3 linked regions of the Oryzias latipes genome follow. The main gene of each other region encodes a partner of the protein of the gene in region 3 in a complex. Links are inferred from orthologs where the notes say so. Each region holds a gene or a part of one and is shown on either strand. Other genes may lie near its edges. The genes, in order: f3, poglut1 and coagulation factor VII.

The links.
Region 1: the proteins of coagulation factor VII (region 3) and f3 are in contact, whole or in part, in a crystal structure (PDB 6R2W), measured with the Homo sapiens proteins. The link is inferred for Oryzias latipes from reciprocal best matches to the Homo sapiens genes F7 and F3. Residues at the interface, in NP_000122.1 of Homo sapiens: Leu73, Lys78, Phe91, Arg96, Leu99, Phe100, Ser103, Ser120, Lys122, Gln124, Leu125, Ile129, Cys130, Phe131, Cys132, Leu133, Pro134, Phe136, Glu137, Gly138, Arg139, Lys145, Gln148, Ile150, Val152, Asn153, Glu154; in NP_001984.1 of Homo sapiens: Thr49, Asn50, Lys52, Ile54, Glu56, Trp77, Lys78, Ser79, Lys80, Phe82, Tyr83, Glu88, Asp90, Asp93, Gly141, Gln142, Thr144, Glu162, Arg163, Thr164, Leu165, Arg167, Phe172, Tyr188, Trp190, Lys191, Ser192, Ser194, Ser195, Gly196.
Region 2: the proteins of coagulation factor VII (region 3) and poglut1 are in contact, whole or in part, in a crystal structure (PDB 5L0S), measured with the Homo sapiens proteins. The link is inferred for Oryzias latipes from reciprocal best matches to the Homo sapiens genes F7 and POGLUT1. Residues at the interface, in NP_000122.1 of Homo sapiens: Asp108, Gln109, Cys110, Ala111, Ser112, Ser113, Pro114, Cys115, Gln116, Asn117, Gly118, Gly119, Cys121, Gln126, Ser127, Tyr128, Arg139, Asn140; in NP_689518.1 of Homo sapiens: Met103, Phe104, Pro105, Ser106, Arg107, Arg132, Asp133, Pro171, Ala172, Trp174, Pro178, Thr179, Thr214, Asn239, Gln240, Ala241, Val274.

What each region holds. Positions count from the first base shown.
Region 1 is NC_019878.2:5,082,033-5,085,047, forward strand, and holds the end of f3 (tissue factor), read right to left. Parts: intron 2,274-3,015; coding exon 2,131-2,273; 3' UTR 540-2,130; downstream 1-539. UniProt on the Homo sapiens protein: Initiates blood coagulation by forming a complex with circulating factor VII or VIIa. The [TF:VIIa] complex activates factors IX or X by specific limited proteolysis.
Region 2 is NC_019860.2:16,695,481-16,699,673, forward strand, and holds the start of poglut1 (protein O-glucosyltransferase 1), read right to left. Parts: upstream 2,837-4,193; 5' UTR 2,819-2,836; coding exon 2,749-2,818; intron 1,598-2,748; coding exon 1,507-1,597; intron 1,425-1,506; coding exon 1,281-1,424; intron 1,197-1,280; coding exon 1,061-1,196; intron 986-1,060; coding exon 864-985; intron 780-863; coding exon 720-779; intron 1-719. UniProt on the Homo sapiens protein: Dual specificity glycosyltransferase that catalyzes the transfer of glucose and xylose from UDP-glucose and UDP-xylose, respectively, to a serine residue found in the consensus sequence of C-X-S-X-P-C.
Region 3 is NC_019860.2:10,267,621-10,271,861, forward strand, and holds the start of coagulation factor VII, read left to right. Parts: upstream 1-1,409; 5' UTR 1,410-1,452; coding exon 1,453-1,540; intron 1,541-3,463; coding exon 3,464-3,627; intron 3,628-3,698; coding exon 3,699-3,723; intron 3,724-3,803; coding exon 3,804-3,917; intron 3,918-4,000; coding exon 4,001-4,141; intron 4,142-4,241. Other genes in the region: uncharacterized protein LOC101163470, read left to right, coding at 789-931. UniProt on the Homo sapiens protein: Initiates the extrinsic pathway of blood coagulation. Serine protease that circulates in the blood in a zymogen form. Factor VII is converted to factor VIIa by factor Xa, factor XIIa, factor IXa, or thrombin by minor proteolysis.

The sequences.
Region 1 (3,015 bases), on a different chromosome or scaffold from region 3:
TACCCTTCCTTTAGGCACCACATACTGCATGTTGGCACCACACATGCAGCAAACACACACTCACACATTTTTCCGATCATTCAAACACCACATGATTTTTTTAAAGTATGTTTTCATACTTCAGATTCAGATTACATGCTGTTTCCTTCTCCTATAAAGTGGATTACTCTGCTCATCTGCTCCTTGTTTGGCCCTTCTATCAAATTTTAGAACCCTTTGTGGCCCACAAGTCCAAACGTTTACTCACCCCTGAGCTAGACACTAAACAGCCATGAGTCGAAACCCAGGAATAAACCAGAATTAACAGTAGGTTTTTATTTTTATTTTTTTAACCTTTGAAGGGTTAGCACAACTCAACAAAAACCATAAAAGACCCCAGGCCACCTTTAACTGCAGCCTGGATGTTGACATTAGATAAGCTAGCAGGAAACCAAGGCCCTATAGGTCCCAGGCAGGAAGCTGAAAAGGAAAATTGAGCTATTAAAATTCTTAAACCGAATGAACTTTAGAATGTGCGAAACATACAGATACAAACATAATTAGTTAGAACATGTAACTTTATTTAAAAAAAAGTATGAAAACAGTAGTGTATACATGAGAGCACACTTGTTCTTCTCAGCTAAAGGTAAACCCACTTCCTTTGTTCACGTGTGTTCTCTAAACAGTTTAACAAGTCATCACAGATACATTGTTGTCACTTTAGTTGTTAATAGAATTAAAAAAATAAAGATGATTTTAACAATAAGTTACCACTTATATTTGTGAAAAAACACTAAAGGTAAACATGATTGTCCTGTAGTATGTTTTTGTGTTTTACTACTAATAAAAAGTCTAGGTCAAATTTACCCTCTAAGAGTCAAACTTCACCATTAAAGTCAGCATCTTTTCTCTGGAGGACTTTCAGAACCCTTAATACCAGAAAATCTCAGATGATGATATGCCTCACAGGCCACCGTAGGCTCCCCTGTCTCAGCTTTACACAAATTGTTTAACAGCGTTACCCTTTTTCCTACTGGTTCTGCTCAGGAAGACTAAGACGGCAACTTTTAGGATTTACTGGGATGCTCAGCTTAGAAGGATGAGTTCTATCTGCTTTCCAAAGGACAATTGTAGCCAGCAGCAGCTGATGCAGTTTCCTTTTCCAGTAAAGGTTTTATTTGTGAGTTTTCCTGGAAGGGCAGCTTTTCAGAACAAAAGCATATTAAATCTAGGATTTACCACAGAGCTGCATCTTAAATTTGAACCAACCGTGTCTGTTTGTGACAGTGTGTGTCGATTCTAATGGTTATATGTGGGTAATGAAAGTACAAGATTAATTATGAATAATTTCATAGTGATAAGCAACTTTTAGTAAATCTATCCCTGTTTGAGCCTTTTGTCTCCTAAAAGCGGACGTGCCATCTCTTTGAACCACCTTGTGTTGTACCTTTACAGCTTTACAGCAGAGCCTGCATTTCCTTTTCCTGTTTTAATACCAATATCTTACAGTGCACCACTTTCATTGGATTGATGTAAAGAAAAATCTTCTCAAAAGCAGCAGGTTTTTCTAAAGGCACATTTCCAAGACATTTTTAAGTTGCTCTGAGCCTTTTTTCTTTGACCAAAATAATTCAGTAACTGTTAAAAAGAAAACATAATTTTCCCAATCAATAATATCGATTTAGCGTTGTCAATCCATTATTTTATCATTGTTTAACACAGTAAAAAATGTGAACCAGGTCAAAGAAGGGTGGAAATGTACAACATTCAAAAACTAAAATAGCAGATCTGCAAGAATTCAACATTTTTAAAACTCTCAAATGAAATTGCGATAAATGACGGTAATGTCAGTAAAATATAGTAAATTAAGCATTAGGTACACACATATGTGCTGATTTAGTGTTGTTCTACTATAATCCCCACACCCCAATCATTCAAGTCTACAATTAAGTCAATAAATAAAGTCTCCTGTGGAGAACTGAACGTACCTGTCAGCTGAAACTAACCAGTTTAACATCAGCTTTTGGAATGCAACAAAACAAAAACATTTAGAGGAAGTTTCACAGAAACTAAAAATTACAGTTTTTGGACATTGGAATATTGGACATCTAGCAGCCTCGGGTTCAGTAGTACCGTCTGCCCCTGCAGACACTATATCTTCTGCAGCGGCAATCCCTTTTGTCTTCTCAGTGCTTTCTTCCTGTGTCTGTAGCAAACCAGGGTGATGCCAACGACAGTTCCCACGAGCAGCAGCAACAGGAGGACGCCTGCAGCAATGACTCCCAGGGAAAACACTGTGAAGACAGGAAAACAACCACAAGTCAGAGGATTTCTATTCAGAGAAATGGATTTAAAGACGGTGTAATCAAGAAAGACTGCACTGTACTACAATAATGAGTAGTAAATCAGCACTTCAACAGGCTGGCAAACTGGGTGTACCTCGCCTAAGCCTGACGCCAGGTTAGTTTTTGGCAGCCCGTGACCCCGAAAAGGACAGAAAATGAACGGATATATTATCCACATATCTATCTATACCTTTATTTAGAACAGGAGATCCAAATCAATAACAGATAAAAACAAAATGATTTAAAAAAGACAGACTGGCGACCTGTCCAGGGTGTCCCCTGCCTTCACCCACAAGTGGCCGGGATAGGCTCCGGCAGCCCCGTGACCGCGAAAGGGATAAAACGGAAAAAGATGAATGAATGAAACGTACTTGTTAACTTCAGCAGCAAACAAAACATAAACGTCTCTGTTGGATCACTTGATAACAATAAACTGAAAATGTTCTCTACAGTTTTTCCATCCTCAAAGGTTTTCAGACTCCAGTTCCAGTAAATCAATGACAGGAAAAGAGTAGTAGATGAAGACAGTAACACCTAAATAAAAATCGAACAACTAGCAAATTCTCACAGTCTAAACTAACACCGTTGTTTTCAACAGGCATGTTTTAGAAACACAAGAAACTGATCACAAGAAATTTGTAATTCTTAATTTCATTTTCATAATACTTTCCATCTCAATCTGTGGACTATA
Region 2 (4,193 bases), about 6.4 Mb from region 3:
AAAAAAAACATTTTACAAAAACTATTAATGAACATGTGATGCTCTGATGATGAAAACCTGGGATTTTTTTTTTTAATCAATGTAATGTTTTCTTTTCCAAATGATAAATCGTAACAATGCAATGCATTTCTGTCTATGAGCATCATTGCACACTGGTTTTTCGCAGAGACTTCTGGGAAATTTTCAGGGCACTGGATTTTGGAATTGTAGATTCAATAACCCCGGAAAAAAATGCTATATAGTAAAATAAGTTTTATTAGGGAATTTGGACACAGCTGTAGTTTTCTTTCTAAAACAGAACGAGGAAATCTAGTGGCCAAATGAGGCAACAGCAACCTCAGAAAAATATTTTGTGTTGTATTAACATAGAAAAACAAAGTTTTATTAATCTGTTGTGTTTGATAAGGTTGGGTATCGCCATAAAAAATATTATAATTTCAATTAGTTTAAGATTTTATCAAATACATTTTAATTTTTTTAAAGGATTTATTATTTCAAGGCAACTTTAGTTTGGTAGTAAAACCGCTTTTCTTTTAATAAAAAAAAAGTTCTTTCTGCAAAAAACAACATTTTACCAACGTAGGTAAACTCTATTGTAGTTTTTTGTTTAATTTGTTTAATTAACTTTTTCTTGAATCTGTTTTTTCCCAGAAAACATGTGAAAAGTGGACCGGATTTGATTTGTAAAAAGTCCCAAATGACCCGTTAGCTTGACCCACCTGGAGCCTCTGAAGAATCCTTTGGGCTCCTTTTTTTTCCAGGGCCATTGAGCTGCAGACCTGTCGACACAAGAAGAGAAATTTCACAAACGTTTAAATAACATTCGCAGCTACCAGGATGTCCGCACTGCCGCTCCATCTTACTTTTTAAGATCCGTCCTCATCAGGTCCCACCTCCCCAGTCCGGTGGGGTATATGGGCCACACAGCGGGGCCACCTTCCCAAAACGTCCAAGCGGGATACATGATGTCCTGGTACTCGGCAGTCTGTTCAGTCCGAGCAAACGCGGGTTATCAAAAGAGGTTTAGAGGCATGAAGAAGCCCCCCGTCATGATCCTGACCTTACTGAAAGAGAGGACCGGCAGGGCGGGGCTCATCCAGTTCGGCACCTGAGGGTAATCCCTCACGTTTACCACCATCTCCAGGTCCGGCAGACGGTCAATCACCTCCAGGATGAAATGCTCCACGCCGCTGCACCTAAAAAAAAACCAGACGAACCAATCAGCATGTGCTGACGTTTGGCGTCCAGATCAAAGGCAAAGCGGGTTCCTGTGGGTGCACCTTGCAGGGAACATGCAGTTCTGCTCTCTGTACAGCTTGTGTTGGATGATCTGGTAGTGGGTGCCCATGCCTCGCTGAACCGTGGAAGCCATGAGGCTTTCTGAGATCCCACCTCTGAAAGGCTGCAAGTCCTGTTGGAGAACGCTGAAATCAAGAGCTGCTGGTTAGTTTTGTGAAAATGTTGGATCTGCAGGCAGACCGGAAAGAAAAAAAAAAAAAAACTCACCTCAGATGACAGCTGCAGTTGACAGAGCTACACGAGACGTAGCTCCCGACCGCTGCAGAAACACGATCGCGGGTTTTCTTCCACTTTTGGGCTGAAGAAGACGTTCAGACGTAAATTTGTGTTGTTGTTTTTACACCTATTTTTCTTTTTGCAACAAATTTTGCAATGGCTGAGCAAAAAAACAAACAAAAAAAACTGAACAGAATCGATCAAAAGACCATATTTTTACAATAAAAATTAACCATTAAGCCTTTTAGCATCATCTAGGATACTCAGTTAGCTAAAAGGCTATTAGCAAAGTTAATCATCCAAAAGTTGTGATTTTTTTCATGTTCTTTCAACTTTAAATGGTCTTCCTTTAGTTTGTAAACTATATTAATAAGAAATGGGAGAAACCTGTTGTCACATGATCCTTTACTTTTACGTTGCTCAAAGGTCATGACCACTTATACATACGACTTTAATCCTTAAACGTTAAATAAAAATCTTGTTTATTTCAAAATTTCATAGCATTCATCATAATGGAGCCAAAGTTGGAACGTTTGCTTTCGTTGTACAAATTAGATTATTTTTCAATAAAGTAAATAGGGACGAGCTTAAAGCAAGCCCCTTAACGGCTAAACCGAGTAATTTATTTCAAACTAGTTATTTGTAAAAAGTTTTTTTTTTAACAAAATGGCCCAATTAATAAAAAGTAAAACATCTTTTTTTAAGCTACATTTGGTAGAAAACTACTAACAAAAATGTAACGTTTTTTTTTCAGGGGGGACTTGCGTCGCCCCGAGCTGCAAAATGACCAAACACGCCCCTGCAGACGAACATTCCGGCTTCATCAAAAAGCTTCAAAATAAGAGCTTAAACTGACCTTTTACAATAAAACAGGCAAATAATAAAATACTAGTAAATCTTAGATAAACTTTTTTTTGTCTCGTTGTAACCAACTTTAGAAGTGAAATGGTTGGGATTACACTGATTTGTGCTAAACTCCTGTCGGCAAAGCAGGTCTGGTTCACTGAATAAACACACTCGTGTAGTTACAATTTCACTATGTTCATTCATAAAATCAATCCCAGCCTCCATAAAAGTTAGCACTCAGCCTCAGCTCAGCTCGGCTTAGCCCCCCAGCATTTTAGCCATTTAGCATTAAGTTTCTTTAAGACGTGCAGCGAAAGGTCGTGTTTTCAATCAATCAGAACTTGTTTTCAAAAGTAGGTTTAAAGACACAAAAAAAAACGTTATTACCTGATGCACCGCCTAAATTTAAGCCATAAATCAGCAGAAGATGAAAGACCCACAAACACCGGCACTCCATCGCTTGCTCGTTGATTAGCTTTGACTGGAGAGAAAAATAAATGAAAACAAAAGCATAGATCTGATCTGCGCTCTGTTGCTTCTGTCTGACCACCGTTTCTGCGGCGGTGGGCGCAAAAAAGAAGAAATTCTTGCCGTAAAATGTCGAAGAAAGTCGCAAATAAATGTATTCATGTAAAATAATTATATACATTTTAAAGTTTATTGAGAACACATGTAATTTTTGATATACATCTATTTCTAATAATAAAAAAGTAGAAAACATCCTTGTAAAATCTACTTTTTTGGCACTAAATCTAGTTTTTTGTGTAGTGTGTTTGATTTCTAAAGCAAACCAGTTCATAAAATGATAAACTCTCTAAATAAATAATTACTTAATTGTTTGGTTAATCATATTTTGTTCATTTAAAGAGCCACTCCAACAAAAATGGTGTTTTTAACATGTTCTTTTCCCACGATGGAGGATAAAAATAAAATAATTTAAAATTAAAACAGCATATCTGAGTATTTCTTTCTTAAATTAAATCGAGATGAATCTGGAGCAGATGAAAATATCCAGTTGAAAAAAGCTCTCTTTTGTGATGCAGTGAGTGAAACGGCCGGGCCAAAGCCTCACCACTTCGCATCCACGTTGTCGCATAAACTTGCGGACAAATAGATCTATTCCCGTCTTTATTTTTCTCGTTTGAGTTGGCTCCAAACTTTATGGCTGCACCTGTAATGTTAGGTTGAGTTGTAATGGGCTGTAAGCTAGCGCGAGAGAGAGCAATGGGTTATATCGCTAGAGGAGACATGCCCGCTTGGGAAGCCTGGCCACCGCTGGCGGAGAACGACGCCATCATGGTGAGGTCGTCGGCGCCCACATGACAATGCTCTCTATATAGCCTTTAGTGGCATTTAAGTAGCTTTTATGTAATATATATATATATATATATATATACACACAAACATCATTTGTTAGCCTTAGAGGCTCAAACTTTAATAAAAAATGCATAGTTGCAGGACTCCTTACAAATAAAAAAAATTATTACAAATACTTTTTAATAATAATTTCTAAACATTTAGAAGTTTTAGACCTCTTTGACATGTAATTTAAATTATTTAGAAAAGCCCAACAATAAGTCAATAATAATAATAATAATAATATAGATAATAATAAATCAATAAGCCAATAAAAAATAACAATAACAAAAGTAAATAATTAGTCAATAATAATTAATCAATAATAAGTCAATAAAAATAATAAATAGCAATAAACAAATAAAAATTCAATAATAATATATATACTTTTTGTTAATAAGTCAACAAAAAGTCAAAAAGTTAACAATAGGTTTACCCAAAGAAAAACAATAGATTTACTGATTCATGTGAGTGAT
Region 3 (4,241 bases):
ATGAAGGCGGCAGAGAGACGTGAATAGACGAGCTCTGAGCTTTTATTTTGACACGTACATCGCACAGGTGTCATCATCTTCTGCCCTTCCCCTCACTCATGGTGCAAAAAAGAAGTAATGTCTATTAAATGTAGCTTTCTTTTTTTGGAATTTTAAGGCTCCTCTTCTGTCTCCTGGATGGGCGTTTTCGCCTTTTGGCAGAGTGACATAGATAGACGGATGTAACAGAGAATCTGGCAATTTTTCAAAATAAAACATCTTTCAGATTCCGAAATGAATAAGACGGAAGTCATGTAAATGATTTATTCTTACCGGTCTGCGGCCCGGGGGTTAGGAGCCGCTGATTTAGAGGACCATTTTTAGCATTGACTTGCTGCAAACAGACAATCTATCCTACAGTTCCTGATTGGTTTAAACGACACAAAGCTTTACAAAAGTTCAGATATTGGAACTCTGGAAACAAGGCTCCGCATGGCGAAATTTTTGCAGAATTTTTGGCACGCCAGATAGCTGCCCCATCCAAAACATGTTGCTCCCAGAGAACCCAGCGGCGCTCGTCGCTTAAATCGCGCAGCAGGAACTCTGACTGTGTCCGTACACTGACGGGACGCCCCTGGCGCGCGAATTGCGTTCGCCGTGAACGTAGCTTTACTGCGAAACTCACAGTTGAGAAACACCTGATTGTTTAGCTGATCCAAATGTGTCGCTGTCCAAATATTTCTGAGCCTGACTGTCAATTCCGCTAAGGCACCGCCAACAGTAATTATGTCTGTTGCTGCCTCCCCCAGGTGAAAACTGCAACCGTGGGGCTGCCCTTGGGGCCCTGCTGGGCGCCGGGGCCGCCTACAATGGGCGGGGCATCCCACAGGAATGGAAGGACCACCTGAAAGATGGGCAAGAGCTCATTCCTGAGATCCTTAAGAAGTTTTAGTTAAAGCAACAGCACCCCCCATGGAGACAAAGAGAACTGCAGGGACTAATAAAAGTTGCTGCTGCTTTCAGGTTTCATATTTATTTATGACTGATTCCACTTCAACAAGAATATTCTTTTTTTTTTTGCACGATCTATATATTTTTTACCATCAAATTAAATTATTAATCTTTTTTTCTGTAACATTTTTCTGTTTGAAGTTGCCTTTAAAAAATAAACAAACAAAGTTAAACTGGCTGAACATATTTGCATTTTTTTTCATATTTTAAAATAGAATTTAAGGAACAAATGAATCCATGTGTTTTTTTCTTTTTTTCTTTTCTTTTATTTAAGCTACTCAAGCAGAAATGTGAATTAGCTGTTGAATTATTATCATTTCTTTTGTTGTGACTAAACTGAAGGAGTGGAGCAGCTCAAACGTAAAAGTGTGGAAATTTGGGTCACTTTCTTTTTTTCTTTTTTGGGGAGGGTTGGGGAGAGTGTTTGTTTCACTCCTGACCTTTGATCAGTTCAGAACAAACATGGCGTTCATCTACAGAGAAAAGACGCATCTCTTCTTCTTATTACTCACCGCTGCTTCATTCCCAGCATGCACTGGGACTTCGGAAGGTTCGTACGGTCCTTTCTGTTTCTTCAAGTCGCTATCAGGATGATGGTTGTAGAAATAAGAGTCCAGGTTCTTCAGAGTATTTAAAACAGTCCACTAGTAAAGCGGAAAAACAACTGAAATACTAATAATCAGACTTGTTTACATTGTTTTTATGTAAAACTCAAAAAGCTTATAGAAGAAACATTTTAGACGTTGATCAATTGAAGTCAGAATTGTGATGAAGCGTCTTGAATTAGTGCCTTCAGTTTTCATTGCAAAAACTGACGGAAAAAGTAAAATCTAATTCAGTTTTTAATTAGAAAATCCCTATTGAAAATTAAAGACAAAACTGAATAATTTTTTGCTTTCACCTTCAGCTTTTGCATTAAAAGTTTAGATATTTTAATCCTGTAAAACCCACCATCAAAAAATGCAGAATTCAAATTCTTTAGAATCAAAAGAGTTTTTAAAACCTTGGAAGAAATCCACAAATATTTTGTGGATCTTCTATTTTTTGTGAGATATAGATATTATCAATATTTGGGATTTATTAATTTTTTGTTGATATCAATGATAGCTGAAGATGCAAAAGAAACATTGACATGAATGTTCAGGGAAAAAAGCCCCTTATTTACCCACCGTCTCAAATTTGATCCACACATTTAGAAATTGGTGTAAATGTATTATAAAGAATTAATTATTATTTAAATCCAGCAAGTAGTCGTTAACAAAGGACCTTGGAGGTTTGGCGGGTTGGGGTCTTCACTGAGGCAATCGGTGGTTGTCGTAATTGGTCGTCTGCCTCCATCCTGTTGGTGCCTAATCAGAGCGCCCCCTAGGCGCCACCCCTGACCAGACGGGTGGCCCTGTGGGCGGGGACCTGTGCTTGCTCCTGGAAGTCTGTGTGTGTGTGCATTGGACATGCACCTCGGGGGGAAGGAACTACTGCACCTTAAACATGAAGGACCCTTGGTCGGAGGGCTGCTTGGACATCGTTGCTAACAAGCAGAAGATGTCCTCTCAGTGCCCTACCCGCCGATTTTAGCTGCACCCTTTGTTGTAGTATGTCCATGTTTACTTGATTATATGTGAACATTACTGGAGCCAACAGGTATGTTTGTAACATTTGAGTGTGTGTGTGGACAGGCCCCGCCCCATTCAGATTTGTTATATATCTAAACCTGACAGTAATGATTATAAACTTCCAGCAACCTGTTACTTTATGATTTTACCCCCCCTCCCCCTCTATAATCACCCTCCTACCCCCTTTCCAACATCCCTCTCTCTTCTTCCCTCCTTTCCTTTTCCGCCTGGAGCAACAAAAATTGTCACAAATATAATTAATTTGAATAAAGTTGAGTCTAAATTACAAAAGGAGTTTATTCAAATATACATGTGGTGTTCGAAGATTCATAACCCCATGTTGTAAAAGTAAAATATGTCCAACACAAGCGGCCTTTAGCTCTCATCTGTTTGCTCAGATGTTGGACAGGACAAGTTAAAACGCAATAGCAGAAAAAGCCCTTCTACTGCCCCTAGTGGAATAATGATGAACTACAGGGCAGAAAACATGGACCCAGTTGAATCAAATAAGTCTTTAGGACATGCTAGTGAGATAGTGGTCTCAGAAATGCATATTTTAAATATGATACCAATTGTTATCCCTTGTGCTATCCTAGGCACTTTAACATTGGGAGTTGGGTCATCTAGACCCACTAGACAGTGCACTGAACCTTTTTTCTTCAATCATTTGTGATCTTCACTGGTGTCCATGGATTACATGAAATCTTTCCACCTTTATCCACCTTTGTCATGGTAGGAATAACACATCAATGTGAGGGTGGGGTCATCTAAGATAGCACAAGGGATAAGAGCAGAAGTCATGTAAACGTTCCTGTTTGTCAGAATATATCATTTCTGAACTGCTTATTCCCACCAAGAAGGGGTGTTCCTGGAAAGACCCGAAGCGAGTGTTTTCCTGCATCGGAGCCGTCGGGCTAACTCGTGGCTGGAAGAGTTGAGGCAAGGGAACATCGAGCGAGAATGTTACGAGGAGAAATGCTCCTACGAGGAGGCCCGAGAAATCTTTGCTCTGCCACAGCAACTGGTAAGGAGGAGTTTCGCCTGAGGGTCCTGGTGGTGTTGGTTTTTGCTGAACTGTGTTACCTGCTCTTACAGGAGACTTTCTGGAGGACTTACACAGGTACATGGGTTTTGACAGGCTGTTAGAGTAACATGGAGGAAGTCTGCTGGACTCCCATTGAAAAGTCCTCTTGCTTTCAGCTGTAGACCACTGCTTGTCCTTCCCCTGTAAGAACGGGGGAACCTGCACTCGCCACTTCAGCAACTACGTCTGCAAATGTGCCCCAGGCTTCCACGGAACCCACTGCGAGAAAGGTAGAAACCCGGAGAGCAGATGACGCCACGGCTTTTTAATTCATTTTGGTTTGCAGGAAACCATCGAGCGTTTGTTTTTGCAGCTCGCCTGACCTCGAATGGCTGTCGCTACAGAAACGGAGGCTGCGAACATTTCTGCACGGAGCTCTCAGATCGTTCTCCTTCCTGTTCCTGTGCACCGGGCTATGGTCTGGATCAGGACAACAGCACGTGCCTTCCCAAAGGTCTGAGCTGCTTTCCAAGCTGACTTGTTTGCAAAAGCTAAAAATAGAAGAAACGTGTGAGTTTACAGCACCCAAAGAAGTTTCTCCAACACCGGAGATG